Linked DNA regions of Lonchura striata. The protein of the gene in region 4 purifies or fractionates together with the protein of the main gene of each other region. This does not show direct contact. Links are inferred from orthologs where the notes say so. Each region holds a gene or a part of one and is shown on either strand. Other genes may lie near its edges. The genes, in order: MAPK14, MAPK1, ATP5PO and PTPN5.

The links.
Region 1: the proteins of PTPN5 (region 4) and MAPK14 purify together in Homo sapiens (affinity purification with mass spectrometry; 3 studies listed by BioGRID and IntAct, with this or other methods). This does not show direct contact. The link is inferred for Lonchura striata from reciprocal best matches to the Homo sapiens genes PTPN5 and MAPK14.
Region 2: the proteins of PTPN5 (region 4) and MAPK1 purify together in Homo sapiens (affinity purification with mass spectrometry; 4 studies listed by BioGRID and IntAct, with this or other methods). This does not show direct contact. The link is inferred for Lonchura striata from reciprocal best matches to the Homo sapiens genes PTPN5 and MAPK1.
Region 3: the proteins of PTPN5 (region 4) and ATP5PO purify together in Homo sapiens (affinity purification with mass spectrometry; 3 studies listed by BioGRID and IntAct, with this or other methods). This does not show direct contact. The link is inferred for Lonchura striata from reciprocal best matches to the Homo sapiens genes PTPN5 and ATP5PO.

Annotation. Positions count from the first base shown.
Region 1 is NC_134632.1:4,665,904-4,673,370, reverse strand, and holds the start of MAPK14 (mitogen-activated protein kinase 14), read right to left. Parts: upstream 3,280-7,467; 5' UTR 3,059-3,279; coding exon 2,943-3,058; intron 2,494-2,942; exon of another isoform or gene 2,464-2,493; intron 943-2,463; exon of another isoform or gene 846-942; intron 1-845. UniProt on the Homo sapiens protein: Serine/threonine kinase which acts as an essential component of the MAP kinase signal transduction pathway.
Region 2 is NC_134620.1:7,339,611-7,347,154, reverse strand, and holds the start of MAPK1 (mitogen-activated protein kinase 1), read right to left. Parts: upstream 3,070-7,544; 5' UTR 2,858-3,069; coding exon 2,715-2,857; intron 1-2,714. UniProt on the Homo sapiens protein: Serine/threonine kinase which acts as an essential component of the MAP kinase signal transduction pathway. MAPK1/ERK2 and MAPK3/ERK1 are the 2 MAPKs which play an important role in the MAPK/ERK cascade.
Region 3 is NC_134604.1:116,173,027-116,180,686, reverse strand, and holds the start of ATP5PO (ATP synthase peripheral stalk subunit OSCP, mitochondrial), read right to left. Parts: upstream 3,289-7,660; 5' UTR 3,242-3,288; coding exon 3,212-3,241; intron 3,079-3,211; coding exon 3,028-3,078; intron 2,303-3,027; coding exon 2,192-2,302; intron 1,694-2,191; coding exon 1,564-1,693; intron 769-1,563; coding exon 656-768; intron 133-655; coding exon 46-132; intron 1-45. UniProt on the Homo sapiens protein: Subunit OSCP, of the mitochondrial membrane ATP synthase complex (F(1)F(0) ATP synthase or Complex V) that produces ATP from ADP in the presence of a proton gradient across the membrane which is generated by electron transport complexes of the respiratory chain.
Region 4 is NC_134608.1:47,987,285-47,995,694, reverse strand, and holds the start of PTPN5 (tyrosine-protein phosphatase non-receptor type 5), read right to left. Parts: upstream 3,248-8,410; 5' UTR 3,139-3,247; coding exon 3,066-3,138; intron 1,981-3,065; exon of another isoform or gene 1,895-1,980; coding exon of another isoform or gene 1,822-1,894; intron 1-1,821. UniProt on the Homo sapiens protein: May regulate the activity of several effector molecules involved in synaptic plasticity and neuronal cell survival, including MAPKs, Src family kinases and NMDA receptors.

The DNA.
Region 1 (7,467 bases), on a different chromosome or scaffold from region 4:
AACACCATTTTGCTTAGCTCAGAGCTGGCTGAACTGTGAGACTTCCCTCCAGCACACGCAAGAAATGAAGCAATCCTCCCCAAGTGAAGTGTGAGTCACCAATCAATCCCATCTCTGTTCAGCAACTTCCCACTGCAAGATGTTGTATTGTCTAGGCCCCTCTCCCTACGTGAAATATTACAAAATGGATATATCAGGAACTCTTTTTTTCAATGCAGGCCTGGTTACAAAAGCCATGCAAAAGACTGTGTTGAATAAATACACAAAATGTTGCAAGAATGAATGAAACAGCATTTCCTACAACAGGTGCCATGGCAATTGTTACGTGACTTAGGAAGAATCAATCTGAGGATATGCGTAGATTTTTCTCTAAGTTTTGGAAACAAATCCCTATTTGTATCTCTAACACTTGTAGTTCTTAAAAAATAGATCCTGAAAAATACTTGAGCTGGCCATTTGAACCTCATTCTTGCAACACTGCACACCACCCCTCAGAAAACACTGCAATATTTGCTCTCACTTCAGGCAGTCCTGCAGAAAATGCCTCTCCCTCCATCCACTGACTCCCCAGTTGTCAGGTTTGTGTATTAGGGAGTTCCAAGCCATATTCAAAGCAGCTTACAACAGCTCCATAGTCTAAGTGACTCATCTGGCAGCTTAATGCTTCCTTTTTTATTCATTTTCCCCTCCACTTTCTGGAGATGCCTCATTTTCAAATGCCTCATTTTGACAACTTAAACAACAGAGCATTTGATTACATTTGAATATAATAATAGTGAACATACATGAAAATAGATTTACCATTTTAAGGATTGTTAAAACACCACTATGTACTATCCCAACAGGGATACACCAAACACCAAATGAAATTAGGTGGCTTTTTACTGGAGAGGAAAAAAATCTCTAAAGGGACAGAGCAGAATAAGTCCTCGCAGGAATACCGTAAGTAATATGCATCACCACTTGTAGCTTAATAAGCATCCATAAATATGCAAAAGTTTTTGTCGTTTTCTTGAATTTTTCAATTTTGACATACTTTCCATATCACTATATCTTTTCTGAAAACTATTTTTAGAAGAACATACAGGAAGCCATTAACATGGACTGTAAAAAAAGTCTGCCACATGTCTGAAATTGCTTCCAATACAAAACTGTTTCACTTGGTCTGAATAAAGTTGCACAATCTTTCAAAGTTTTGACACAGCAGAACAGGAAATTCATGATGCAAAGTCTTTAGTTACTGGTTGAAAACAAACTTTGCAACTATTACTTATACAGTGGAGTTTACAGGGAGGGAGAAAAGAAAATAGGAGTGGGGTATATGATGTAGAATCAACCTTAAAATACAAAGGACAAGGCACCAAGCAAATTTATTTCCCATTACATTTCAGAAGTTGCATAACTCTGTGACACCGACAGGGGTATTTATCAGCTGTGTCAACAAGGTTCTTCTTTCACCAAAAGAAACCTGTCTATTCCTTTCCAATCAAAATTATTCTATAATTATATTAAAAAAAAAAAAAAAAAAAAAAAAAAAACAAGAAACAAACCAAAAACACACCTCAGCAAATATACTGGTTATTCTCACTACAAAATTGACCAGCCTGGTTTACTTTTATGAAATGCAAGCCTCTGCACACTTCAATCACAGCATTTTAAAAAATGCAAGTTATTTAAGCTCAACTCTACCAACAATTTTATAACAGGTTAAGAACAGCTGAGCATTTCATTAAAACTGTAGCATGTCCAAAGGAGCTTATTTTCTGTACTAAGAGAATGCAGCATGTGTCCCTCCTTATAATAAAACTGATACCCATAATGTAAATTTGCATACATTAATAAACACATATGCATGCCTGCTCCAACAAAACAGCAAAGCAGCTTTGTAATTATGCACCCATATTTCAAAATTCTGCTCACACTTTGACAGAAGCAAAGAACACAGAATAAAACCCAAAGACTCAGGTGGAAGATGTTTCTTAATCAAAGGAGGCAGTAATCTGTGCACATTTAACTAAATGACTGCTAAAGTCTAAGAGTCAAACCGATTCAAATACTACCTTGTCTTTAAGGTTAAGCCAAGCATGCAGCTCTATTTATGTTTAATGATCCACCGCAGTCCAGCAGAGAAGCTACAAATTAAGGACGCATTGTATCTCACACATGCAGCCTGGTTTGTTCCTATTAGGTAAGCATTAAAAACTAAACTCTTCAAGCTCCCTGTATTCCTGCAGGTCTCATAGCAGGACTTTACTCTCCCAGGGAGCACATGCTGCAGTAATTCTATAGCAATAAAACGAGTCCTCCTGTGTTCATCTATTATTGCCAATAAAATATCGGTGCTTGTAAATCCACTATTAACAAGTCAGGAATACAAAAACAGCCCTCCCTACATTCTATTTCTTGCCTATCAACAAATTCCGGATGAAAATACAACTGACTCAAATACAATTTATTCTTCAGGTCCAGAAAGAAAACTGGGACAAGAGCTGCCAAGCCCTTAGCTCTGCAAAGCCACCTATGGCGGGGGGGGCTTTCCAGGCTGCATCCCTCTGCACTGCCCACCTACAAACTGCAAGAAATCACAGTGAAATATGTCCGTAAGTCACTGAAATATATCCATATGAGCTCATTCGGGGCGGGACGGGGGGGAGCCGGCAAGGACACATTATTATCTTCCCCTGCAAAAATGTTTCGGAGCCACCTGCCATGTGGTGCAATCCCCGACGCATTCCAAAGACGAGACTGCGGCTTCCCGGCAGCACCGCGCGTAAACCCGGGAGGAGAAGTGTCTCTTGCAGGAGGCCGGGGGGACAGGAACCCCCGGGGCACGGAGCAGCCCCGCTCGCCGCGGTGCCCGCCCCGCACGGACCCGGCAGGGCGGCGGGGCAGCGACCTAACGCGACCTCCCCCGCACTGCCCCGTCCCCTCCCTGCGCTCACCACACCGAGCCGTAGGCCCCGGAGCCGACCGGGGAGAGGTTCTGGTAGCGCTCGGGCACCTCCCACACCGTCTTGTTCAGCTCCTGCCGGTAGAACTTGGGCCGCTCCTGAGACATCTCGGTTGCGGAGCCCGCCCCGCCCGGCCCGGCGGGAGGGGGAGGCTCTGCCTGCGGCTGCAGCAGCACCGCCGCCGCCACTACCTCCTCCTGCTCCTGCAGCGGCACCAGCGACTTCTTCCTTCCTTCCTTCCTTCCTCCTTTCGCTCCCTCCCCTCGGCGCTCCGGGCGGGGGCGGCCCCGCAGCAGCGACGCCCCCGCTGCCGCCGCCGGCCGCTCCCGCCCCGCCCCGCTGCCGCAGCCGCGGGGGGCGAGGCCGAGCGCGGCCGTGTCCCCGCCTTCCCCCGCCGCTCTCCCTCCCTCTCTCCCTCCGCGGGCAGCGCCGCGAGGGGCTGGATGGCCCCGAGAGGCGCGGCCGGCGGTCGTGCGGCCGAGCGGCGAGCGAGGCGGGGGCGCCGGCGCGCGGGGCGGGGACACGCTGCCGCCGCAGGTGGGACGGCGCAGGCGGCGCCGCAGCCACCGCCTCCGCCCCTCGCTGCGACCTCGTACACAGCGCAAACAGCGCCGGCCCCGCTGTCCCCGCTGTCCCGGCACGGCCCGGCACGGCCGCGCCCGCGGAGCTCCGCGCACCGATGCCCAAGATGGAGCCCGCGCGGCGGCGTCTCGCGAGAGCGGCGCGGAGGGCGGCGCGAACCGCCCGCGCCTCAGCGAGCGCCTCGCTTCTCCCCGAGGTGTTCCGAAAGTGAAAAAACAAAAGGAGAATCGATGAGAATGCTTGCGGAAGCTTGCGAGTTGGTGTGAATTGTTTCTAAACTTCCCGAGGATGGTTTGTTCCCTTCCAGAGGTGTTGAGGAGAGCTAAGCTCGCGCTGCACACATTTCCCAGTGTCCTGATCGTTCTCTGTGTTTTTTGAGAATAAGCTGCGTCTCAATACTGCTCAAAAGGCCTTGCAGTATCAAAGACACAGATGTGTTTGCTTTCCAGTACATGCATAAGTCTAAAGTTATTAAGTGCGGCAGATTAAGCTGACTTTGGAGTGGAACCCATGGTGTCTTCACCAGACAGTAAGTACAGAATATCACAGAAAATAATTCATGTTCAGGCCACTTAGCTTTTAATCTCAAGCTTTAGAAAGGTGAATTGTTAGCAAGATACACACATTCTGAATGGGTCACGGAAGCTTGCTTTTAAAACATTTGGCTTCCCATATCAAACCCCTTCTCTACACAAAGTGGCACCCTCTCCTATGGTGGTGTAAGTCATTGAAGCCCACAGGAGTAAACACTTAAAAGTTACCACTGCTTGCACCTATAAAGTAACTACTTCTTGGTATGTTAGGATTCTTAACACCTTTAATTTGCAAACTCTTGCTGTTAGTTTTGCATGTATGACCTTGCCTTGAAAAGGGTGATTGTGCTCAAGGATGTCAGACACACCTCGCCCTGCTGTGGTTTGGAGTGGCTGGGGATGTGTATGTGTACAAGACAGTAAATCTAATGCTGGAGTCCCTGCTGTGGTATCAGAACAAACAGGTCTCAGTGATTGTGCTTTTGTTTCTTTGTTTTAGTTTGGTTTGACTATGAATATTGCAGTTTTCTTTCTGAATCTCTTTTTGGATCTAGTCTGGACTCTCAGTGGTTATGGCTTTTTCTGTTCTGCTAAGTCCTCCTATGAAAGTAAACACAGAATCTCTTATTCATCATTTATCTGGGCTTTGTTTCAGTGTGTACTGAAACTTAAACTGTTCTCTTGAGACGGGGACAAGGCTTGAGACTCAAGACTGAGCCACTGGGTGAGGTTCTCCAAGGTGTGGTGAGCTAATCTATCAGCCTGCTGCTGCCAAAAGGGACAGGACCACACAGGGAAAGGAAAGCAGGGGAGCCAGGCTTCTCTTTCTGGATAACCAGCTCTTTCATCAGCTTAGCCACGTGTGGTACTGAAGCCTGAAACTACGGGTCTTGTCCAGCTTACACTGCTGTAAAGGAATTTTCAGGTGATAAATGCAGGCAAACAGAGCTGTAGTTTGAGTTGGTGTTGTTTTCTCAGTAACCATGAAGACTTGTCAACAAGGTTACCTTCTGTAATAGTGAGATCATTTACATTGTGCAAAAGCCTTCTGTTCTGTCATTTAATATCTTTAAAAATCTAAGATGGAGATTGGATGAAATTCTGGAGTCAGAGAAACAAAATCACTTGATGGCAAGAGTTGAATCGTGTATAACTGTGACATGTGATGTAGAGTTAAGAGTCTGTCCACCCAAAATTACCTGATGTAATACAATAAGTTTTGCCCAGAATTCAAAGGCAGAATTTTGCTAATATTATTGGAAACTTTATCATTGCATTGTCTAATAAGAAAATATATTTTATTTCTTCCTCCAGCTCATTGTTTAAGAAAAATGTCTGCCTTGCTTCCTCATGATTTTTCCCTGTTTCTTTGCCACTTCCCTGTTTCATGTGTTTTTTCTGTTCTCCATTTTGTATGCACTTGTCAGCAGAGCCACCCTGACAGTGAAATTATGGAGGGGGACACAGCTCTGTAATGTTAATGTGAGTCCCCACGGTCACTGTTCACAGTTCAGGGATGTCAAAAGCCTTACTTATATTTGGGTTGTGAATAAAAAAAAAAAAAAAAAAAAAAAAAAAAAAATCACCAACATGCCAGGAATTAAAAGGGGGAAGAAGGAGCACTGGGCGGTGGGGTTAGTCAGAGTTTAGCTACTGGAAATTTTGATTCAAACACATACATGGGAAATATATCATGTAGGTCAAGTCCTGATTTAACCCACTCACTAAATAATTTAATTCAGGAAACATTTGTCTCATTTTGGGGAGGTGGGATAGGTTTGTTAATTTTTGCTGCCCAGATGCAGTGTTTATGTGGTTTTCTTCTAGGTCAGAACAGGAGGAATCAAAATACCATCCCCTCTTTTTTCTGCAGTGTTAATTAGGTCAAGCAACTGATGTATCCAGTGCTCTGTGCTTCTCCAGCTATCAGGTGAACAGCACACAGAGCATTTGTGATTCATCTGAGTGGCATGCAAGGGCACAGAGGTGCCTGCCTGGGATGGATGGTGTGTGCCAGCTCTGGGATAACACCTGTGCCTGCAGAGAGCAAACACAGCAAACCTTGGTGGGCACAGGAGGCCACACAAGAGCACTGCAGAGACACAGGTGGCTGCTTTGGACAGGCAGAAAGTTGGGTGAGTTAGAATCTACTGCAGAACAGCTTGCTGAAGTCAGGCTGAACAGCAGAAGGTAGAATATTTGGCTTGACATTTAAGCCTTCACGTTAAATTATCCTGCCAGTAACTTAAATATTGTCATGGAGTTGAGGAAATGCGGCTGGGTAGATCCCCTTTTGAATTCTCCATTTTTTCACAAATGTAATGGATTGATAATCCAGTTTGTTGCTTTGAGTCCTGTGTTCCTGTTTGGGCAAAGACATCTTTGTGTGCAAGCTGGAGAAGCATCCTGTTGAGTTTTGCAGGAGGGAATGACTTTGTTGTTGTTGTTTTTATTTCTCTGACAGAGTGAGAATCCTGCCAGCGGAGGGCAAAAGCTCCAAGTTTTTTATTTCCAGAGGTTACTGCACCAGCTGTCTTTGGGATGATGGGGGAAGTGAAAAACAGAGATAGCTTGACTTCCTGAAGAACTGGAGCTTATGCCTTTTCTGTCAGTATTCTGCAATAATTTTTAAGCTTGGTAGCTGTCTCAGCCAAGTTTGAATTGGGCAGGTGGCTGGAAATTCCAGGAAAAGCAATTGTTCTGAGTAAAATATTCCAGTAGTTGTCCCACCTAGGGAAAGAATCCAGTCTTGGGTAATCATCCTGTGCTGGGGTCCTACACCTGAACGAGGCAAGAAGGAGAAGAAAACCCTCCCCAAATCTGGAGGAAAGCAGGGTTCCTGACTTCTGCTGCTCATGAAACCACTTGTTTAACTCCCTCACCTTGGCATTGCACAAAATAGTCTAATGCAAGGATATTGACCTTTCAAACTCTTCCCCCATAGAAAAAGCTTCAAAGAATGAAGGTGACACTAAATATTCACCAGTCTCCCTTTAATGCAGGAAGGTGGGGAGCACCCTCACAGAGGTGACTGTTTCCACAGGAGCCCCCTTTGAGGTGAGGCTGCCTGGGAATGCAGCAGGGACCCACAGCAGCTCAGGGGTGTCACCTCCAGCAGTCCCTGTGAGCCCAGTTCCTCGAGGGCTGGAGGTTTGGGCTGTCCTGTGCTCCCATGCCAGCAGGGCCCTCTCGCTGCTCAGGTGGTGTCACCTTGTTATGGGAACTGCATTTGACCACCTTGACACTCTGGCCACCCTTGGCTAAGAGTTATATCCAGATATGAACTTGGATTTTCAAGAAGACTGTGTAGAGTCTCTTAACTGCAGAGAAAACTGAATCCTGGATCTTCTTGGACTGAAAGACAGGAAAAACTGAAGGCCCAAATGGTATTGAGTAATTCT
Region 2 (7,544 bases), on a different chromosome or scaffold from region 4:
GAGAACATTCACGTACAGTCTCTTCAGCCAACATCTTCTTCTATTTCCTGTACTGGTATTTTATGTTGTGATCAATATTTCTCAAACATTATTCTCTCTGCTGCAAAATCAAAATGGAAGACTGGCCATAACAGCACTGTCCTAAGAATACTTCATTTGCCCTTTTACTCATATAATCGAAAGCATTTTATTGTTTTCAAATCCCTAATCCAATAATGTAGAAACATAAGAATCAGGATAAAACAAGAGAGAGAGTGAAGGATTTTAAGATTCAAAAGACACTCGTTTGCCAAGTAACAAGCCTTATGGCACAGTGCACTTGTAAATAACCATCATCTCCAAAGAGCTCCACATTAGCTGTGGGTCTAAAACAAAACCATCAGGACCTGCTTTGCTTTCCTTTATTAACGTGTACAAATTTAAATGGATTTTGCAGTTGCAGGAAACATCTCCATCTGCACACTCACAGCTTGCCCTCTACCCCACCCCCTGAGGGAGAAGCTTCTGCAGATCCTCACTGCATTAGCAACCAGAGCAAAACAAGAAACACAGAGCAGTAAACTGCTCAACCTGCATGGCTGGGATTGATAGGCAATCGCATTTCATCGCAGTCACCACAATAGGGCACAGCTGCTATGGCACTGCTACAAGTGCATCCAACACTTTCCTGATCGTGTACACGCCATAAACTGAGACTTTGTTCCCTGTCATTTCACACCCAAGGCACAAGAGCAATAATCACAAGCACAAAATACATAATGTGGCATTTTATGTTAATAATTTTACAGACAAGTGCAAGGAGCCAAGTGTGTATTTCAGCTGAACTGGAGATTTGGAAATTATCAATTTGATAGTGATTTTGCACAGCATTCACAGCAGACACAAAGTATCAGAAGAAGTTTTCAAATAAAAATCAGTCTTTTGGATTTAGAGTGGAAACAGCTTCAGTGTAGAAGTTTACCACACACCATTTGGAGGGGCAGAAGTGGCCCCGTTTCCCCTGTATCTGAACACTGGCACAGGGATGCCAAAAAAGGGCATCAACTGCCATCATGCTGCTTCTTGCAGTCCCTCATCTGTGGTGAAATATTTTAGCTTTTCACTTTGATTGTGAAACCCAGTTTTTAACACCCCATTGAAGTCAACTGGACTGTCCCCAGCACACACCTCAGCTACGCTACTCCCCAGGACCTTCAAAAACCTGACTGTGAATGCAAACCAGTGCAGCCACTACTGAGATTATCTGCATTCATTTCCTTACACTGCTCCAGATGATAAAATAACCATAATAAAATACAGCCTGTACCAGAAGATATATCAACAAATTTTGGACTAGATATATTGCTGTGATTTCTAACACTGAAACAATAACAAGGATATTTTTTATACAGTAAATAGGATTTTTGATTTACATTTTGAAGAATCTTCCCACAGCAAAGTAAGAAAAGTGAAGGCCACAACACAAAACTCTGAGAGAGGCTCATCTCCCAGCTGAACTCAGGCCTAGATGAAAGCCCCCTCCCTGAAACACACAACGACTTCATCCTGACAGGCCAGCACAATTCAGTGACTATGTGCAAAAACCTACAGCTATAAAAATCTATGTAGCACACAGCTGAAGGCTGTGAGGTGTCCTCGCTGAGAAATACACTGCTTTACAAAAGATTCCCCATCAGAGAGAGAAATTAATGCTGATAAAGCTTTCATTAAGTCACAGCCTGTAAGTTGCTTTTAGTACTTCTGGTCAAAAATCATACTGAAGAAACAGAGGCAGCGTTGCAAAGAAGTTGATAAAACAGCAATAAAAAAGAATTTTTTATCTGCATCCCTTAAGTTATTTCAGGACTACAGGGTTTTTTTAACTAATGGAAGACAAAATATGAAATCCTAAGTAAGGCTACTGAGCATGCCAGGTTAATAACCTAGTCATTAGATGCACAGATCAGACAGCATCACCCCAGCTCATTGAGACTGCTAAAAAATCCATCTCACACTCTCAATCCAGTTAGTTCACGTTTTTTGTAGTTCGTTCACGGCTCTCTGTAAGACCGATGTTACCCACAGCAAACCTACACGATCGCTTTTCAGCGAGACTCAGACTAAGTCTTTATAATACAATATAATTTAGACCTAGGAAGGCTGAAGATAACTTTCACCTGCACACAATAAGGCAGGCACTAATCCGGCCAGCTCTGCAGCACAGACAGCACGTCCTGAGCAAAGTCAGGCAGCGGCAGCAACTCCTATGCTCGGATTCACCTTTTTTATCCCCGCGACCTCGGCTGCTGCAGCCAGGTGAGCCCTCGCAGGGCACTGGAAGGGACGCGGGGCTGCCAGCAGGATTTACTACCTCCTCCCCTTCCTGAACGTCTGCAATCGCACTACGGAGACGGAGGAAATAACGAGAGCGACCAACTCCAGAGGCACAAGATTTAAAGAAAATAAACGCAGGAGCGAAACGAAACGAGACGCTCAGCTGCACCCACCGACCGAGGGATGGGGGGGTGAAGGGAGGGAAAGAAGGGTGATGCCGGAGAGACAGCCTCGGGAACACGGAGAGGAGGCAGAGCTGAGGAGCGGGAGGCAGAGCTGCTCCCCCTCCCCGAGGGCAAGGGCGGGCCAGGCCCGCGGCCGGGCAGGGCGGCGGGAAGGAGGGAGGGAAGGGAGGAGGGAGTTGTCCGGGGCAAGGGCGCTGCCCCGGCGGCTGCACTCACCACACCATGCCGTAGGCCCCCTCGCCGATGTAGGAGAGGTTGGTGTAGCGCGGCCCCACGTCGAACACTTGTCCCCGCACCATCTCCGGGCCGCCGGCGCTGGCGGAGCCGCCCGCAGCCCCTGCCCCCGACACCGCCGCCATGTTGTCCGTGCCGGGAACCGCGGTGCTGCGTGCGGGGGGGCGGAGGCGGGCGAGGAGGGGGGCGAGGAGGAGGATGCGGGAGGGAGGAGAGAGGAGGAGGAGGAGAAGGAGGAGGGAGGAAGAGGCGCCGCCCGCTCCGGCCGCTCCGCCGCTCTCGGCCCGCCGGCCCCGTCAGCGCCGAACCCGCCGCGGCCGCTCTGAGGAGGCGCCGCCGGCCGCGCGCGCGCACCGCCCGGCCCGGGAGGTGCAAGGGGGGAGCGGGGGGGGCGAGGACGCGCGCGCAGGGAGCGGCGCGGGGCGGGGCCGCGCGCGCAGGGGGCGGGGCCGGGGGCGGGGCCGGGGACTGCGGTAACCGCAGCCGCTGGGGAGGGGGCGCGGCGGCCGCGGGTCACGTGGGGCGCGCGGCGGGTCACGTGGCCGCGCGGCGCCATTAGAGGCGTCAGGTGACGGGCGGGAAATGGAGCCGGGCCCGGCCGCCCTCAGCCCGCTCCGCCCTGCCATGAGCGCGACTTCGTTTGTGACCCTTCCCGGCTTCACACGGTTCTGCAAACTCTTTTCAGCATAATGTTTTTACATGTAATGACGTTTTCCTGTTCGCTGCTTCCCGTATAAATGTAAATAAACTTTGTAGGGGAGGTAAAATCTCAGCTGAAGGTTAGTCATGGTTTGAGTACTGCTTGCAACCGTGCCGTATCTTTTCTGGTTTTCTGCAAGGCAGAGTTTTCCTGAAACAGCTTTTTCCTTGTTTGCAGGGCTTCATGCACAAGGATCTTAACTCCAGTTCTGCCCTTTCCAGCAGTTCTCTAATGACCCTGACAGAAGTACTAACCGTGGTTACTACTGATATTTTCTCTGCCAGCATCTCCGCTGCTTCGCGTCTGTCCGCACCCATGGCCCCGGCGATGCCTCGCTTCTCCCAACTCGCCGAGGTCGTTTCTGGCATCCCGCCTTCTCCCGGCCCTTCCTGCTCCGACCCGGCTCCTTTGCCGTCGGCCGAGCCGCCTCAGTGGTGCCCGGGGCGGGGAGCGCAGTCCCGGCTCCGGCTGCGCCCCCGGCTGCCCCAGGGCTCCGGGAGCCACCCAGCCTCGGCTGATGGAGGGAAACCTGTCAGGGACAAGCACCAAAATCCAACAAACTCGCCTCTGTCTTTAACAGGCATTCGACTCTACAGCTCGTGGTTTGTATATTTGGGTGGGATAATGCTTCTGATGTATTAATTTTTACATGTCTATGATGGTTTTTGTTTCGTGATGCGTTCTGCACTTCAGACACACAGCATTCTTTTTCTCAGAAATTTCAGACACCAGTAAATGCAAGTGTTTCAATTTTCTGAAACCAAGTACAGTATTATTTTAAAGGTTCTTTTAACTCTAAAAATGAAAATTTGCTTACAGTTCTGTTACATACATATATAACTCTGTCATTAGCAAATGCAAAACAAATTATTATGGAGAATGTAGCTTAAACACAGCCTGCCATACTAAATTTAATTAAAAACTGGTGTATATCTAAATTATTTTCTACCTTCGTGGGATGTGTCTGATCAAAAAGGAAACCAACCAGGCAGGCCAGGAAATCGTGGAAGGACTGTCAGCTCTTTTGAGCACTGTGTTCAAATATATGTCTAATCCAATTAAACCCGAGTAAATGGTCAGAGGCTACAGCATGCTCTCCCAACAACTCCTCCCATGGCAGAACTGGGTGCAGTGTTTCAGTGAAGCTCTGCAGTTGCTGAGATAGGCAGAGCAGATGGGAGTGGTATCAATCAGTTTTCACCCTACTTAAATACACTGCCATTACCTGCACTTAATGTTGGGTCTTTTGCCTTAATAAGGTGACATAAAAGCCTCAATTTTGGAAAGCACATAAACATGTTTTAAGAAAATTATGAGTTCCATGATCAAAATGAAGGGGGAGAAGAGGTGATACTTACTAAAAAATTATAGCAGATAATGAGAAGCAGAAGGAAAAGACCTTTTTATTTTGAACAGAGAAGAGTTTGTGTAAGCAGAAACAGGAATATTAAGAAAAAGCTAAGCCATTAGCTAAGTCAGTGTAAATACGTCATGGTTTGGACTGTCTCCATCTTCAGTCAAGTTCAGGAGTCACATGAATGAGTTCATCCTACAATCAGGATCTAGAAATTCCCTGCACTGTTACTCGTTTCTGCTTTAACTGTTAATTCTTGTTCTGTAAATAGGTCTCTTGAAAAGGGAACATTGTACCACAGGGCCCCTGAGCCCTGGGATCAGCAGTGCTGGGTCAGGCTGAGGACAAACAGCATGGAGCTGCCCTATGGTGTCCCTCTGTAGTGGGGGTGGGAGGCATCTCAGATCTTTGTGCTAATTTAAAACTGAAGCCACATCTCCTAAAATCATCATAATTATACCGGTTGTGTGATTTGCAGCCGTGGCTTTCTTGGTAGCTGTTGTACAAGTATGTCAGCATAAACCTGAACCTCCCCATCATCCCAATCAAACACTGGCATTAAGTACATACAGTTTTACCAGAATTATTTAAAAAGACCTCAAGCCTTTGTGCGGGGGTGATGAGAGAGAGAAATAAGACATGTTAAAATGTTTTATAAAGATATATTTTAACTTCTAAGGCACTCAGGAACCATGGTGATGGTTCTTGAAATTGCTTAGATATGAGCTCTGATCCACAGGGAACTATCCTAAGATTCAGAAAGAGCATCAGCTGGTAATAACTTCTAGTCAGTACCTACCTGGGCTTGACAGAACAGGTGACACACATCAGAAATCCCTTGAGACTCATCTTCATGTGAATGACCACTGCTTTCGCAGTGTAAAACGACCTTAATGAAAATGAGGCTATTGCTGTAATCTTGCACTGCTGGGAGGTTAAAAACAATCTCTCATCCACACTGCTGGGCCTTGGTGCCAGAAAAAATTTACTTTCCTCCCCAGTATTTCTTTTTTTCTGCATTCAACATTCTGGCAGACTTTACATGGAGCTTAGACACCATGGAGTTAAGATGAGAAAACAGATTGCTGTGGTTGTTCTGTGCATGCCAAGGGGAGCACAAAAGATTATTAATTGCAGAATGATTCTGTCAGTAACAGCCTTGATCCTGCACTGGGTATCATTCTGTCACTGTCAGAACCTGTCACTGTTGTAGGAGATGTCTTGTATTATCTATCATGTTCTGGTTAGTTTTGCTGTTCACAAATACAGTTTGAAAACACAGTTGCAATTTCAAATCATTTTCATATTCTTTAGTTTTGAACAAGTAATTTACAATCATACTCTAAATATTTTTAAAGGGATCTATTTTACAGCAACCTTAAAAGCTTATAATATAAATCTAGCTATTTTAATTAATATACTAACATTTTGTAGCTGTCTGTATAAAATTAAGTTGCTTTTATTTTTCAACTGCAGTTGTAGCAGTATCCAGGCACTGTCCTGCAGTTCAGGAATGGAAATTTCCCAGCCTCAAAGCACACTCTGTCTCAGTCAGCTGCAATAAAACTCTGAGTGATTTCAATATTGTTGTGTGCCTTACTTGTCCTCAGTTATCTGGAGCTTGTATCTTTTGAAAACCAGCTACTCCTCATGAGCTTGCTTCATCTTGCCCAAGACATGAAATTCAGTAAACAAGCTGAGGATGATAAGAGAACTGAATAACCAGATAAAAAGTTAATTTACAGGACTGGCAAAATGAAACATACGCATATTAAGTATTTACACAGCATATTACAGCGACTTGTGAGTCTTCACTGAGGTCCTGCTACATGACCCCTGTTTTCTCGTGCTGAAGCCTTGTACACTGGAAGGCTATTAAGTTCTTACAATAAGATTTAGCTAGTCTTTTGTTTCTGGTATCATTGATTGCTAAGAAATTAAAAGTTTTTACATAATTTTACAAAATTATTACATAACCTCAGAAGTCTAATAATTTACAAATACTAGAACATGCAGTGTGTTTCCCCCACATTTATTTTTGGTTCAGCTGTAGGCAGGACAAGTGATGCCTCCAGCAGAGGCAGAAGTCAAAGCATGTAAAAACAGGATTATTAGGATTTTATGTTGTCTAAATATTGCATTTTTAATGCTTTTTGCTCATAGCAAAAAATGTAGGGAACTTTTGTAATGAAGAGGTTGGCTGATGTGAAAACAGAGGAAAAAGGGTGATGCAAGAATGAATAAAAGAGAATATGGAGGGGGAGAATGTAACTTACAATTAAAATGAATAGGCAGTGGGACTGAGCTGTGGGAATAGAAGGGCCCTGGTTGGAGGGGTGATATCCAGACCCCACTGCATCTGGCTGTGTGCAAGGGAAGCCCCTGGCAGACACACAAGTCTATTCAGGGAGAACCAGTTTGGGGACTGGTGCCAGGCCTGCTAAAAAGAGCTCACCAGGACTTGCTTTCCCCGACGTCGGCGCCTGCTGGGGTGACGTTCAGCACAAACGCGTGCGGCCGATGACTCTGGTGGCACAAGTACACGTCCTACTTGCCTTGATTAGATGTAATCTAAACCATGGGCAGTGGCTGAACAGAAACAAATGATAGGGAACAGTACACTAATGGCACTCTGAGATTTTCACCAGGGTTGAACATTCAGCCAGCATTAATGGCTTTACATTCCATGACAAGTGCATGGCAGCCTTTAGAGTAAGCTGCAGGCCAATAGCACAGCAATTCTGGATGAAGGTTCCAC
Region 3 (7,660 bases), on a different chromosome or scaffold from region 4:
TGAACATGAACTTATGATAGTTATTTGTAAGTCAAAAATCCAGACCTTAGTCTCCAGCTTCAACACCTCTCCTTTGGCCAAGAACCCATTAAGAACACTTTTCAGTTCAGTGAGGCTGGCATCATCCAAGGGCTGAAAAAAAGAACAGATGAGTAGGAAAATGAATTACTTTAAAATACTCAAATGATATAATGATAATAAATTATATAATAATATATACTCAAATTATATGATACAAATTTTCTCCTCAGGTCCCTTTGAAGACACATTTCCACCATAACAGGGATAAGCCAAGGACAGCACAGGAACAACAACCACTTTGTGCTCTCCTGATTGCATGAAACATCTTCATGTTAGAAAAAAGAACAGGGGCAGCTCTATGCAGACCAGCCTGACTTTTGTCAGCCCCTGGGTTCACACACAGGAAGGAAAACCGTGAGCTGCTCAGTTGCAATGGGGTGAAGAGTTTTCATTTTGGAACAGGAACTGCGGGGTATCAGCGCTCTCTTTGCAGCAGTTTGTTCAGCTTGGCAGAGGTGAGACACTCTCACTGCTCTCACAGCAGCTACTTCAATCTCAGAGCGCAGCCTGAACTGGGAGAGGTCTGTCCTTTCTCCCACTCCCTGCTGCCTGGATGCACAGCTCCCCAGCCCACCTGAGCCGTGGTGACCGTGCACACCACCTCCCCTCGGAAGGCGCTCATGATCTTCCCGAAGGCAGAGACGATGCCCGGGGTGTAACGCAGGCGGCCGTTCTCAGCCAGCAGATCTGCAAAACAGCCATGCACCACTTCACTTAACCAGCTTTGTATCTGGAAACTGATAAGCTAACCACTCCTATGACTCCTTCCCATTTTTCTGGCCAACACATTGCCTCTGGAAACCTCCCTCAGTGCCAATTACCCCATCACAGAGAGGGATTAGTAAGAGAAACTAGCAAACCCCTTCTGCCACCATGACTTCTTTAGGGTAGTTTTTGGTTTTTCATTTTATTTGTTACTATTTCTCACCCTTCAAACGCAGTGGGGTAATTATCAGTTACTCTGGACTTTAGTAAAAGGAACAGGGGAGAAAAAGCCATCATTAAGTCTGATCTCAGACTTCAGGGGTTTTGCTTGCTAGGAGAAATTGAACTCTGGAAGTTGCTCTATTCTGGCCCCTCCATCAACTACTTTCCCACTGAAATTACAGCACACCAGAAAAATTCTCTGCATGCAGAGCAGTTTCCACCATGCTGGCAGTGCCAATGCTTCTCCGGCTTGGACACAAAGCAGTTTCACACCCAAAGGAAGCATTTGCTACTTGTATCAGCCTTAGCCACCTAGTCAGTGGATGTCTCCTCTTTTCAAAATACAGCCACAGAGGACCCTGGATCTCTCTCCCTTGTAGTCTCCCCTTGAGCCACTGCAACACTGCAGGAGCAGGAACAATCTAGATCTCTGTGAAAGGGATCTGAGTTCGGAGTCACAGCCAAGTGCTCCTAAGCACCACCAGAGGCAGATCCCAGCAGCCAGCAGCTGGATGGCACTGCTGGGATGCTCTCCTGAACCCAGAGGTCACTCACTCATCAGGTTGACAGTGATCGGGGACATCTTCTCTCTTGCCAGGGCGTCGTTCACAGCTTTTTGTTTCACTGAGCTCTTGGTGTGAGGGTTCATCACCACGCTGGACAGCTTGGGGTCCTTCAGGAGACTCTGAGGGGATACACAAGGATGTGACAAACGCCAGGGGTTTTCCTGGCACCACAAAGCCCACCTGGAGCAGCCAAGGCAGGCAACAAGGGCATTCCTGTAATGACAACAAAGAGCTCTGGAGCTGATGGGAAGTGAAATGGCAGCTCCAGCTGGAGAATCAGGGAATGGTTTGGGTTGGAAGGGACCTTAAAGATTGGGTGGACAGAGACACCTTCCACTACCCAAGACTGCTCCACGCCCCATTAAACCTATCCCTGGACACTTCCAGGAGTGAAGCAGCCACAGCTTCTCTGGGCACCCTGTGCCAGGGCCTCCCCACCCTCCTAGGGAACAATTCCTTCCCAATATCCCATTTAAACACCAGGGTCACAAGCAGGCAGTGCAAGCCGGGAGTCTCACAGGTCACAGGAGCAGTCCCACAGCCCCATCCCTCCTGAGGAGCAGCAGGGAACCCTCCCCATTCCCACCCCTGGGAGTTTTGGCTGTGGAACACCTTACCCACACCCGGGTCAGCTCCTTCTCCACCTGCTCCAGCTTCTTCTGCTTGCTGGCTGCCGAGTAGAGGGCGGTGGCATAGCGCCCTTCCAGCCCGTACACCTGGATGGGGGGCTGCGGGAGCCGGGGCGGGCACTGAGCGGGGAACCGGGGGAGAGACCCCCTGCCCCCGCCGTGGCCAGCCGGGAGCCACCGTGCACCCCGCCCTCACCGTGCCCACCCCGGCCACCCGCCTGCAGCCCCTCACGACCCCTCACCCTGCCACCTCGACCAGCCTGGACACCTCCGCTAAGCACCTCGGGGACTCCTCGATATCCCCACGACCTCCACCTCCTCACCTCGACCAGCTTAGAGACCCCTCCCGCTCCCCTCAGGACACCCAGCTCCCAATCTTCACCAGCCTGGAGACCCCTGCCTCTCCCCTCAGGACACGCAGCCCCCCCAATCTTCACCAGCCTGGAGACCCCTGCCTCTCCCCTCAGGACACCCAGCCCCCAATCTTTATCTGCTTGGAGACCCCTCCCGTTCCCTTCAGGACATCCACCCCCCAATCTTTATCTGCTTACAGACCCCTCCCGTTCCCTTCAGGACATCCACCCCCCAATCTTTATCTGCTTGGAGACCCCTCCCGTTCCCTTCAGGACATCCACCCCCCAATCTTTATCTGCTTACAGACCCCTCCCGTTCCCTTCAGGACATCCACCCCCCAATCTTCACCAGCCTGGAGATTCCTCCTGCTCCCCTCAGGACACCCAGCCCCCCCAATCTTCACCAGCCTGGAGACCCCTCCCGCTGCCTTCAGGCCACCCCAGCCCCTTATCCTCACCCCCTCCCCTCACCTTGACCAGCTTGGTCACCGGTCTCGCCGCCGTCGTACTCAGCTGCCGCACCTGAGGGGGAATAAGGGGGAGAAGAGCGGGGTCGGCGCAGCCCTGGAGGGTCGGAAGGAAGGGGATGCTGGAGGGTGGGAGCCGGCGCTGTTCTCCCCAGAGCCGCCCGGGCCCCGCCGCCCCCCAGTTTCACCTTCAAGACGAGCCCGGCCGCCGCCGCCATCTTGCCCGGCCGCCCCCAGGGTCACCGCGCGCTGCGCAGGCGCGGCGGGCCACGCCCACCCCGGCGCCATTATGGGTGTCACTCGTGCCGCGGGGCACGCTGGGAGCTGTAGTTCCGCCGGGCGGCGCCTGCGAGCTGCGCGCCCCCTGCCGGGCCATCGGGGGAGCGCAGCCCCCGCGCCCGGCTGGGGTCCCTGTGACACCAAGTGTCACTGTGCCACCAGTGTCACTGTGTCATCAATGTCCCTGTGTTCCTGTGACACCAGTGTCACTGTGTCATCAATGTCCCTGTGTTCCTGTGACACCAGTGTCACTGTGCCACCGGTGTCACTGTGTCATCAATGTCCCTGTGTTCCTGTGACACCAGTGTCACTGTGCCACCGGTGTCACTGTGACACCAGTGTCACTGTGTCCCTGTGACACCGGTGTCACTGTGTCATCAGTGTCCCTGTGTCCCTGTGACACCAGTGTCACTGTGTCCCTGTGACACCAGTGTCACTGTGACACCAGTGTCACTGTGCCACCGGTGTCACTGTGCCATCAGTGTCACTGTACCATCAATGTCCCTGTGCCACCAGTGTCACTGTGCCACCAGTGTCACTGTGTCCCTGTGACACCAATGTCACTGTGCCGCCAGTGTCCCTGTGCCACCGGTGTCCCTGTGGTGTCCCTGTGTCCCTGTGCTGTCCCTGTAGTGTCCCTGTGGTGTCGCTATGTACCAGGTGTCCCTGTGCCCCTGGCATCCCTTTGTCCCCAGTGTCCTTGTGCCCTCAGTGTCACTGTCCTTATCCCCCTAGTGTTCCTGTCCCCACAGTGGCCCAGTGCCCTCCGTGTCCCTGAGCCCTGCTGTCCTCCATGGACTTCTCCAGCATGGGTACTTCCCACAGGATTGGTTCTTCAGGATCAGGCTGCCCCAGTGTGGGTCCTTTCCATGGGGTCATTCCTGCAGGAACTTCTCCCTTTTCCATGGGGTCATTCCTGCAGGAATTGATCCTTTTCCCATGGGGTCATTCCTGCAGGAACTGCCCCAGTGTGGGACCCTTTTCCTATAGGATCTCAAGCCCTTCCACCAAACCTGCTCCAGGGGGGCTCCTCTCCTCACAGGGCCTCAGATCCCTGCCAGGATCTGCTCCAGGGTGGAATTTCCATGGGATTACACCTTTTGTGCATCCCCTGCTCTGGCGTGGGCTTCACCAGGAGCTGCAGGTGGATTTCATCTCCTCCAGGGCTGCAGGTGGACCTCAGTTCCTCCATGGATTGCAGGTAGATCTCAGCTCCTCCACAGATCTCCAGGAGTTGCAGATGGATTTCAGCTCCTCCATGGATCTCCAGGGAGTGCAGGTGGATCTCAGCTCCTCCATGGATCTCCAGGGAGTGCAGGTGGATCTCAGCTCCTACATGGATTGCAGGTGGATCTCAGCTCCTCCATGGATCTCCAGGAGCTGCAGGTGGATCTTAGCTCCTCCATGGATCTCCAGGCTGCACCTCAGCCCCACCTGTCCCTCCATTCATGAGGAGCATCCCACAAGTTCTTCCAGACTCAACACTAGCTGTGCTTCCCTCCCAGAAACCTCCAAAACCTGGGATTTATTTCCTCCCCGTGGATGGACTCCATTCCAACACCTCCCAATTCAAAGGATCTTCCAGGTGGGACAGACAGCTCTGTCCCTCTCTCTGGTGACCTGAGCAGCTCGCTTAGATCCCTGAAATACCTGGAATGGTTGGCTGATGGATGGATGGATGGATGGATGATGGATGGATGGATGGATGGATGATGGATGATGGATGGATGGATGATGGATGGATGGATGATGGATGATGGATGGATGGATGGATGGATGGATGGATGGATGATGGATGGATGGATGATGGATGGATGGATGGATGGATGGATGGATGGATGGATGGATGGATGGATGGATGGATGGATGGATGGATGAGGGATGGGCTCACTCCAGGACGCCAGGACAGAGTTCCAGTGGGGCTCAGTGTCCCAGCGGGAATAAAGCAGTGGCTCCAACCTGATTTATTTTGGCTGTCAGGGTTTAATTCCCTGCTCTGTCCCTGGCTGCATTCCGGGGTGACTCTCCAAGGCACAGGGACGGGTTTGAGCCTGGCATAACTGAGACACAACTTGTCAGGCTGGGAGAGCTGGGAATGTTCACCTGGAGAGGAGAAGCTCCAGGGAGAGCTCAGAGCCCTGCCAGGGCCTGGAGGGGCTCCAGGAGAGCTGCAGAGGGACTGGGGACAAGGATGGAGGGACAGGAGCCAGGGAATGGCTCCCACTGCCAGAGGGCAGGGCTGGGTGGGAGATTGGGAATTGGGAATTGTTCCCTGGCAGGGTGGGCAGGGCTGGCATGGAATTCCCAGATTCCCCTGGATCCCTGGCAGTGCCCAAGGCCAGGTTGGACACTGGGGCTGGAGCAGCCTGGCACAGTGGGAGGTGTCCCCATGGCAGGGGTGGCACTGGGTGGGATTTGAGGTCCCTCTCAACCCAAACCCTGCTGTGATTCTATCACTCTGCTTTTCAATATCTTTAAGAACTACACTACTGAGAAAAGCATGTCTAAAATGTAGAAAAACACTTGTTTTTATTTAATAAAAATGTGGGGTTTTTGATAATGTGCTTACAGTGAAGTTTTCAAAATGATTTATTTTAAGCATGTATTCATATCCCAAATTATTTTATTGTTATTCCAGGACACTCTGTGATCTTGCAGTGTTTTAATAGACAGAAAATCTGACTTTTTTAGGCCAGGGAAGTCACCGAGTGCTGTGGGCACTTTACTGAGCTGGGGATTGGGTCAAAGTCTGATAATGCTTTCAGGAATTAAAATCAGAGCACCTTTCACAGGTTAATTTTGGACAAATAACATCCCCCAGATGATAAAGAGTTTGTACCTTGATGCCTTCCACTGGAAGGAAAATTTAAGCCTGGATAAAACCTGTCCTTGTATTTGGATATCTGTTACAATAATGGACTCCTCCATTGTCACAGATGGGAGGGGTTAGGAGTTTTTTCCTCCTGCAAAGCAATTAAATAATATATTATAAATAAATATTGCCCCTTTGCCATTTCCCTGTGTCCCTGGTTTCAGTCTGGTCACTTAATGAACAAGGTCAGGAGAAACACCTGGAAGAACATTCCCTTGTGGGCCTGTCCCTTTAGTGCTTGTAGGGTTGTGACCTTAAAGTGCTCATTTTAATCATGTGGGGATAGAAAAAATATCCTTTTTTTGTCTCCTGCTGAGTCAGACCACAACTGAGACCATGCAAAGTGTGTTTTATTTTCCTTTCACTGAGAACCCTCCAGAAAGAAGGTGACAATTCTCAGGCCATGGTGGTGCTGGGGAGGTGTTTCCCTCAGGGCCCTGCTTCAGGAGGTGTCCCAAAATCTGGAGCAAGGCTTGTCCAGTTCCACAAACAACTCATGGCACGGAGAGGTGGGAAGAGGAGTTTTTTAACAACCCACCCGAGGTTTTCACAGTGCCACAAAACCTGCTGGGTTCACCCTGCACTGGGCCAGGTCTTTGGGAAGGACCCCAAAAATCCCTCTAATGATTAAACTCCTGAGCTCAGGTTTGGAATCAGAAAACACCAAATGCTTCTCCCCTTCACCTGAAACCTGAGCTCTGTTGTTCCCCACCTGTTATTCAGGAATTTCACCTGGCTCTGCCTGGGACTGGGCACCTGGGAGTCCCAGAGGAGCCAGGCTGGAGCTGGAAACAACTTCCTGACCAGTTCCTCTGGAAAAAAAAACCTTTGGTGTTTACCAGCAGTGGGGGAATTTTCCTCTCCTGCTGCTCCAGTTCATCCCAGAGAACCTGGCCCCAAAAAGTCAGGGCCAAGCTCACCCCGTCACAACCATGGGCTTGTTCCTGCAGCTGCAGGAGGGGTTGGAGGGGCTTTGTTGGGGTGGGGTTTGTTGGGTTTTTTCCCTCTTTCCCAAGGGTTCCAGAGGCACAGCTGGTGCTGGATCCAGACCAGGGGGTGTTTTCCACACTCTGCCCCACAAGCGTTTCCCCTTGGGCAGGTAAATCAAGAGCTCCCTGGGGATGGAGCCTGTGCCCACCCTCCAAACCCCCCCTGCCCAGCACGACCTGACTCATTTCCCCATTCAAAAAGGGTTTTTCACTCACTGGCAGGGACAGAAAACCTTTAATTTTATTTTTTCCCCTCCAAACCGGAAAGAATGATTGAAAACCCACAAAAACTATCAGGGGAATTCCAAACAGGGGCAATGTCAGTTGAGTTGGGTGACTGAACTCTCTGCCCTCAGCATTACCACACTCCTCTAAAAGCTCTTGATCTGCAAAATCAAGCACCTCAAACCACATTTTCCTGCCCTCCCAGGGAAGTTTCAGGTTAGTGTTGTTTAATAGGAAAAAGATTCATTGTTATTATTTTGTTGTGCATGTGA
Region 4 (8,410 bases):
CTAAATATTTTTGGCAGCTACTCATGACCTTAAACCAAGGTTACCAGAGGGATACTTTCTACTACATCCATCTCCTAGATGCAAACAAGGATCTGAGCCTTGTTGAAACAAGTTAGGAAAGGCTGGTCCTGCCCCAAAGAGGTTAGGAGCCAGGTTACATGCAGTAGGTCACTAAATAAGGAAGTAAAAAAGAAACAAACCAATAACTTACGACTTACTGGCATTTTAGCTGGTCACAGATCAGGACTCTTACAACACAGGAGCTTGAATCTATTTTCTAAGATGTCAATTATTACCATACTAACTCTTTAAAGTCACTCAAAATCACAGGACAGTCTGGTTCTGCATAGAATCAGAACAGTCTTAGTTCTGGGTAGAATTAAGAGGAGTCTGAAAAGAACATGAGCTCCATCATGAAATAAAAAATACTGTGATGTTCCAGAGATATTCAAAACCTTTGCCTTTCTTGACTGTCATATAGCTTGCTCTCTCTGTGGTAGCAGGGATACATGCAGCACACAAATACTCTACATGTCTGCTGGCCTTATTCTGCTAAAGATGCTTTAGTGCAAATCAGTCCTTCAGCTCTTAAATTTCATTTTCATGTTCTCTTTGCAAGGAAATCTCAAATATTCTCTAAAGTAGAAACACATTATCTCTGAAGTCTCAATATAAACCCTCTAAGCATCAGTTTGAACGAAGAAGCTGGCCTTATCATGGATTGAATCTTGGGGCACACCAGTCACACGCTCCTGTGGCCTGCACAGGGTAAGCAGGAAACTGAAAATGAACTGTGAGAGCAAAGTTCTCAGTTATAGGCTTCTGTCATGAACCTTTTGAAAAAACTACAAGTCAGAAATGCTCTTCTACAAAAGCCTACATGCCTCTAGTCTCCACTGCCTCTCCTGCCTTTGGACTCAACATTCCACAGGTGAGAGAGATCAAACCTAGCTAAACCCCCTGCCTTTCAGAAAGGGTTGTCTTGTGGACAATTGTGAAGGAAATCCAAGCAAGTGAAGTTCTTCAGTGTAGTTGGTTAGGCAAATCTACTCATTTTATTCATTAAACAGAAATTTCCTAATTGTACATTACTTCACTCTCTTTGTTAAACAAACTTAACTTCCCTGTCTCATCTCTTCTATTGACAAGACCAAACCATGGTTGACCTTTTTAGACAGAGGCAGAGAGAATAGTTTTTTTTTTTTTTAATTGTGCTGCAAATCAGTATAATTGCTCCTACTGCAGCAACATCTGCCTTTACAGATACAGAGAAAGCAGAAACTGGAAAGCATCCTGCTACATAATGGAATTCTGAGATCCAGAAAACAAAAGAAATGTTTGTAAAAAGTTCCCTGATCTTTCCCCCACCCCATGCTTGTTTTTAAAGTACAAACCATGTAACAGGAAAAAACCCACAAGGCAGAAAACAGCTCTTCTGTTTCAGACCAGGTTAGGCACTTCAAAGCTATATGTGGCTATTTGCCTTTTGTGCTTTATACTTAATCAATATTAATACCAAAAGATGAATGCTATAATTGTTCAGATTTGCATTCTTTTTGTGCATTCTGCCATTTATCACACTAAATTGTTACTAAATTGATGGTTTTGCTATTTAAAGGCTCTTGTTCTAGTTTTATATGCATGACATCCTGTTGGCAACTATTTCTGCAGTGGAGTGACAAAGATTTTAAAGCCCTTAAACCATAATACTGCTAAGTAAGAAGTAAAAAAACCTAACAAACCAATGACACAACCCTATAGAGAATAATGCCTGTTTAATTATAACAAAAGGAATAAAACGACCAAACGTGATGTGCTTACCTTTCTGCACATACCTACTGAGAACGTTTGGACTCATTATTTGCAAATGTAGAGTAAGAGTTTTCATGTCCATTTCACCAACATTCAAGTCAACTGGCTGAATCTTCTCTCTCAATGGGCATATACTGAGCCCCTGAACTATCCTTGGCTTCAAATGTACAACATTAACTCAAATATATCAACAGCAACATTGGCAAAATCACTACATTCTACTACTCCAAAGGAACAAACTGGAAGTAGAGCAAGCAGCAAGAAAATTTGCTTCAGCTATCCCACACAGTAAAATTCAGCACCCTTGTCATGCACCATACAACTTGTGCTAAAATCAACATGAACTCTGGGTCTGCCTGAGATTTGAACTTGAACTGCACAATTTATGCAACAAGGAAGTTATCATCTGAAACTGACTAACAAAACATTGTGATCAAACAAAAAAATTGCTTCCTCAGTGTATGTGACGTTTTTGAAGTAAAGAAAAAAAAAAGAGCGTAATGGAGCCACATTTCTTCTGAATCTGTCATTTGTTGCTCTAACACGAACACAGAGCCTGACCACCAGCTGTAAATCGATGTCAATCAGGTGGCAGCCAGCGGAGCTGGATCCAAACCTCGACAACTTTGTAAATAACGCTGCCTTTTGCAATACAAAAGGCTTAACCTACTAAATTCATTTTTCCTTTCTCACATAACATAACAATCCCAGTCTCACCAAAATGTAATTGCATAACAAGATAACCGTATGTGAAGTTTGAAGGAAAATAATTATCTTAACTGCAAAAAAAGCTCACAGGGCACATGTGAATGCTATTCCATTCCACCCATAACTACCAAAATCCAGCTGCACAGGACTCCAGGTTCTCAACACTTTATTGCCTACACAGACAGCTATCCTGCTCTCACCACTGCCATCTAGGAGAGAGATGGCCCGTACCGCGGGCCGCCTGGAACATCAGCTCCCAGGCAGCAGCATTCCCGGAAAGCATCGCAAAGCTGTTGCTGCTGCTAAAATTTTAACTGCAGCCGGTAATTAACAACCGGCTGTGCCAGTTCGAAAGCAGCCTCCCCCAAATCCGCCAGCCCTTCCCAAGCGAGGTCCGCTAGGCGCATACACCGGCATCTGCTCCGCGCATCCCGGCGCTCTGTGGCGGGGGAAAAGCCCAGCCTTGTGGGCGCCGCCGCCGTGCCCGGGCCCTGCGGGCTGCTCCCCTCGGCCCCAGCCCCTCGCCCGGCAGCCTCACCGCGCACCGGCAGGGCTGATGCCACTCGCCCACCTCCAAGCCCCGTCCTTCCCCAGGGGACCGGGCTGCCGCTGTTGCATCTCTCTGCGCGCAGCAGGACGAAACGGGAAACGGCTGCGGGAAAAGCCAAGCAAGGGACGTGTCCTGCCCGCCGCCCCCGCCGCCGGCCGGAGGCACAGCCCCCGGCGTGCAGCCGCCCCCCGCACCCCGGGAGCGGCCGCCGCAGCACGGCACAGCCTCGCCTTACCTCCCCGCCCCGGCTCCGGGGATGCGCCGCAGCTGCCGCCTGCCCGCCTCCACCTGCGCCGTCCCTCCCAGCCCGGCGCTCAGGTGCGGAGGGAGCACAAAGGCAGCGCTGCGGCACGGTGGGGGCAGCGGGCTCTCCCCCGCCGAATCCCCGGCCCCGCTGCACCGGAGCCCCGCTCCCGCCGTCGGCAGCCGCCCGCTCCCCTCCCCTGCCGGTACCGAGCGCCAGCCCACCTCAGCCCGCTGCGGGGCCGCCCCCCCGCCCGAAAGCGTGCAACTTGCCCCGAGCCTCCCCTCGAAAGCCTCCTCCCGCTGCGCTGGGTGCCGGCACTCCGGAGCGCCCCTCAGCCTGAGGAAGTTCCCCGGTCCTGCGGGGAGCCGAGGGGACGCGCTACCCCACGTACTCCCCACCACTGACACCCTCCGGGCTCGCCCCGCTCGGTGCCCCGGCAGACACGTACGGGCAGCCCCCACAGAGCCGGGGATACGGACCCAGGGTGCTCGCAGACAAGGCGGCCGCCGCCTCCCGCCCCGTCGCCGCTGGGTGCGTGTGTGGGGAGGGGGGACAGGTGACGAGCGACAGGAAAGAGCCGCTTCCCCCCCAGCGGGAAGGTCTGTGGTGCAACACCGCTCCCGCCTTCCCCCCACCCCGTCTCTGCAGATGCCCCCGGGAAGGGCTGCGAGGCTGGCAGCCGACAACAGCCGCCCCCTCCCCCGGGAAAGCTGTTCTGCCTCCTTCTCCCTCGCTCGCCTTCTTTTCAGCTCGGCCGCTTGACTGACAGGGAGCCTTCCAGCGGCCGCCCACGCGCGCTCCCGTTTCCCCTCAGTCGGAGAGGGAGATGGCGAAGGAGAAAGCATGAATGAAACAGCCAGGCAGCGAGCGGGAGCAGCCGGCCCGGCCCCCGGCAGCGCCGGGACCGCTGCCGCAGTGATGCCCGGGGGCGGCGGGCTCGGCTGGTCGGCCCGGGTGGGCTGTGGGGCAGCTCCCCCGGCTGTGGGGCAGCTCCCCCGGCTGTGGGGCAGCTCCCCCGGCTGTGGGGCAGCGCCCCGGCTGTGGGGCAGCTCCCCCGGCTGTGGGGCAGCGCCCGGCCCCGGCTGTGGGGCAGCGCCCCGGCTGTGGGGCAGCTCCCCCGGCTGTGGGGCAGCTCCCCCCGGCCCCGGCTGTGGGGCAGCTCCCCCGGCTGTGGGGCAGCTCCCCCGGCCCCGGCTGTGGGGCAGCTCCCCCGGCTGTGGGGCAGCGCCCGGCCCCGGCTGTGGGCTCCTGAGAGAGGGGAGCCGGCGGTCGCTGACTGCCAGCGGCACCCCTCCCGGCATCTCTGCTCAGAGGGGGCTGAAAGGTCGCTTGAAGACACTGCGATGCCTCCGCTGGGTTTGTTCCCACAAGGCAGAAGGTGGAAGGTTGATGTCTTCTCGAGCTAGAGACGCGACTGTAGCCTTAGAGATGCCTCTGCAACTGGTTAGTTCCTCAATTATAAACCTACTTCACTCCACCAAAGGCAATTATTCATTTTGTACTCATAAAAATCCAGCACCTAATACCTGAACTAGGACTACTGTCCAGAAGTACTAGCAGGGAGGAAACAATCTCAAAATTAGTTTAAAGCCCACTTGGTTTTCCCAGTGATTAGCTGGTACTGTGGGGTAGCCTTGTAATCCTTTTTTCCCTCAGATCAGTTGTCCCAAAAATGCTTGTGACTTGTTAAACACACTATTCACAATCTCTGGCTGGAGAGCAGAGGTTGTCCCAGCGCTTTGGCTGGGACTATTCTTCACTTCAGTTTGTGATGTTAGTTTTAGTAGCCTTACTGCACAAAGGATTAAATGTTGAGGTAGTGGGGGCCTACAAAGTAAGTGGTTACCTCACTAGCCATGCGCTGAAAATCAGTAATTCCTTTAACTAGTATTTTATGTATTTTCTTGATTTTGTTCATTAGAATTCTTCATTTGAACACCAAACTCTATTTATTTATTTAAATCTCATACAATTTAATTTGAAAAGAACATTTTCTACTTCTGAATATGCATGGAAAATTTCGTTATATGCTGGTACGTACATTGCATGCTGCACTCGAGACATATCTGCATTTGCAGTTACATAATCAATAAACATGGGGTTTCGTCCCATTAATCTAGAATCACATTCTGAGCTGTTTTAAACCAATATGCCACAAATTTAATGCTTGCCAGAATATTTATATCAGCTAAAATTTTAGCCTCTGAATTAAAAAAAAACACCCTGATTTTGATTTCTGTGGAGAGAAGTATCTAAGGACCTTAATTTTTTAAATTTTGTGTTCCTGAAAACTGAGTAGAAAATAAAGCACTGTCAAATCTTTTGTTATAGAACAATGAATGTATCATTATAAGATAAGGCAGTGCAATCCTTCATGTATTTGGTCACAGGGATGGAAAAGCAGCTACAGAACAAAAAAGGAAAGATTCTGAAATGACACGTGTCTTTTAGATAATTGCACAAAGAGATGTTAAAGCATATAAGAAGCTGGCTATAAATACAGTAATAGCATCTTATGAATAATGCAGAGTATAAAATCAGTAAATTCACATAGTGTACTCAATATACCAGTGGTTACCATCTTAGGAAATTGAAATCACACCTTTCTAAACAGCCATGTACCTGAGACAGCAAAATAAAACAAAGGAAAACTCTAAACCAGCTTACAATCAGTAACAGGCATAATGTAGAATCATCACTGACTCTTCTGTGTTATCTATGGAAGATAAAACAAGTGGAGATTGTAAGGAGCAATAAAATCTTCGACAAAATCAAGAGTGAATACACTGTATCTAAGCACCAACAGGTGTTTATCAGTGTTTATCACAGCTGTCTTAGAGTAAACTTATCTCTTAAAAGAAAGCAACTATATATTTTACAATATAGAAAATTAATATTTAACCACCTTAGACTGCAATGCAAGATGTAACCAGAAGTATGGATTTTATGATCAGCTGTTAAAACCAGGTGGGGCAGTGTTCTTTATCTCCTCAACAACCCATCCTCTCACCAGGAGTTATCTTCTGTTAATGGGCCACTGAGTCTCACTGCATGGCTGATAAAATGACATCATCCCATTGTGAGATGCTCCACCCAGGGGTAGGAGCCAAGCATTCCTACCTGGATATAATTTGAGATGTGGAACACCAGTGGGCTTTTTTTCACTGGATTCCCAGAGGAAGACCAGACCCTTCTATGCCATCACTGGACCTTCAGAGAAAAACTAGAAAAACTTTTACAGGATCACTGCTTCAATAGAACCACATTTCTCACTCCAGGAGGACTGCAGCCATCATTTATTCGGACTGCTACCAACACCCTGACCCACAGGGTGTCAGGTTGTATTCTGACTTTATCTGCTTCAGGAGTAAAATTTTTTTTCATCAGCTAATTATTTCTAAACTTTAAAGAACTGCTGCAGATAAAATTCAAGGCTATAGGACTTAGTTAAGTACTTAAAATTAATTGCTGCAAATAATTTTGGGAGAAAGCCGTGTGCGGTCCTGCTGGGTGAGATGTGAGTGCGCACAGCCATGGCCAAGATGTTGGTGCTGGGGCTGGTGGCCGGGGATGTGGTGGTGGATGCGCTGCCCTACTTTGACCAGGGCTACGAGGCACCGCGCGTGCGGGAGGTGGCCACGGCGCTGGTGGGGGAAGAGACGCGGCAGTACTGGCTGACCAAGAACTACCTCAGCTACCTGCCCGTGCACGACTACAGCGCCTTCAACACTGAGATCATGCAGACCAAGATCTGAAAGCCTGGTGGCCTGGCAATCCCTGGAACTACTCAGTATGAAGAGGTACAAGCTGCCCACCTTGTCCTCTAGGCAGAAAAACAACATCATGGCTTGGCAGGAGTGTGTGAACAATTCATGGCACAGCTGGAGCACCAGGCCGTGTGCATCGAGAACCTAGAGCTCATGTCCCAGCATGGCTGCAATGCTGGATGTTGTACAATGAGCACTTAGTTCATATGATAGAACAAGCCCAGAAAGAGCTTCAGAAATTGAAGAAAAACATTCAAGACCTGAACTGGCAGGGGAAGAACATGCAACTCACAGGTGGGGCTAAGCTGCGTGAGATGGAATCCACATGGGTCCCTCTTGTCAGTAAAAATTATGAGATTGAATGAATTATTGTGCAGCTGGAAGAAGAAATTTCACAAATCAAGCAGTAGAATGGGGAAGTAAACAAAGAGAATATCCAACAAGACTTTCAGTGACTTAATCCTGACTTTTCTTAGTGCAGCATGTGTTGAAAACTAGAAACCAGACATTTTGGAGATGCTGTGTCTGTAGACACCTCTAGCTGGACCTGTGTGAGGTGGTAAAGGGTATTTCCATAGTTTCTTTTTTTTGTGTTAAATTTGTGTCAATTGCATCTTCATGATCACCACATGTTGGAAGAAAACTGCTGAGAATCCATTTTCTTAATGCAGAAAGCCAATTCTTTATTCACAAAGCTCATAATATTTGTAGGAAATCTCAGAAGGACTGTGTTAAGCCCAGTTGGTCAGCAACATAGTGAAACTCAGTTCATTGGTCTGTACGGGTTATTGTATATGCCTATCAAATTTTCTCTCTCTAGATATGTTGACATTTTCCTTTGTGCATTCTCAGGGGAAAAACCTTATTGTTTACACAGGTGCATTTGTTTTTACCCTCAGAATAGATTGTTGTGTTAAATGAACTTCTCATTCTCAAAATAGCTTCACACGGGAACTTGCAAATTTCTTGTTAGCTGCACTTGAAAGAAATGACAGGCCAGCTTTGGCAATTTTAGCAGAGCAAGGCCTGATTTCATAAGGCCTCTCTTTTATAATTCTTCTACCTGTCTACGACAGTTCAACATGACTCACCTGCAGTACATATCACTGCCACAGCTGTTGTAAACCTTCTTCTGAGTCAGAGAATGACTTTATGACCCAGAATTCTGGCAGTGAGTACTATCCTTGCGATTTTCCCAATTAAGAGAGAATTGTGAGCTGGTATCAGAGCAGGGTGAGTCAGTCTGATGTAAGGAAAAACTAAACTACTCCACTAGGTCAGTATCCTCTTCCCTTCCAAAATTCAGTGTTATGAAAATCTGGACTC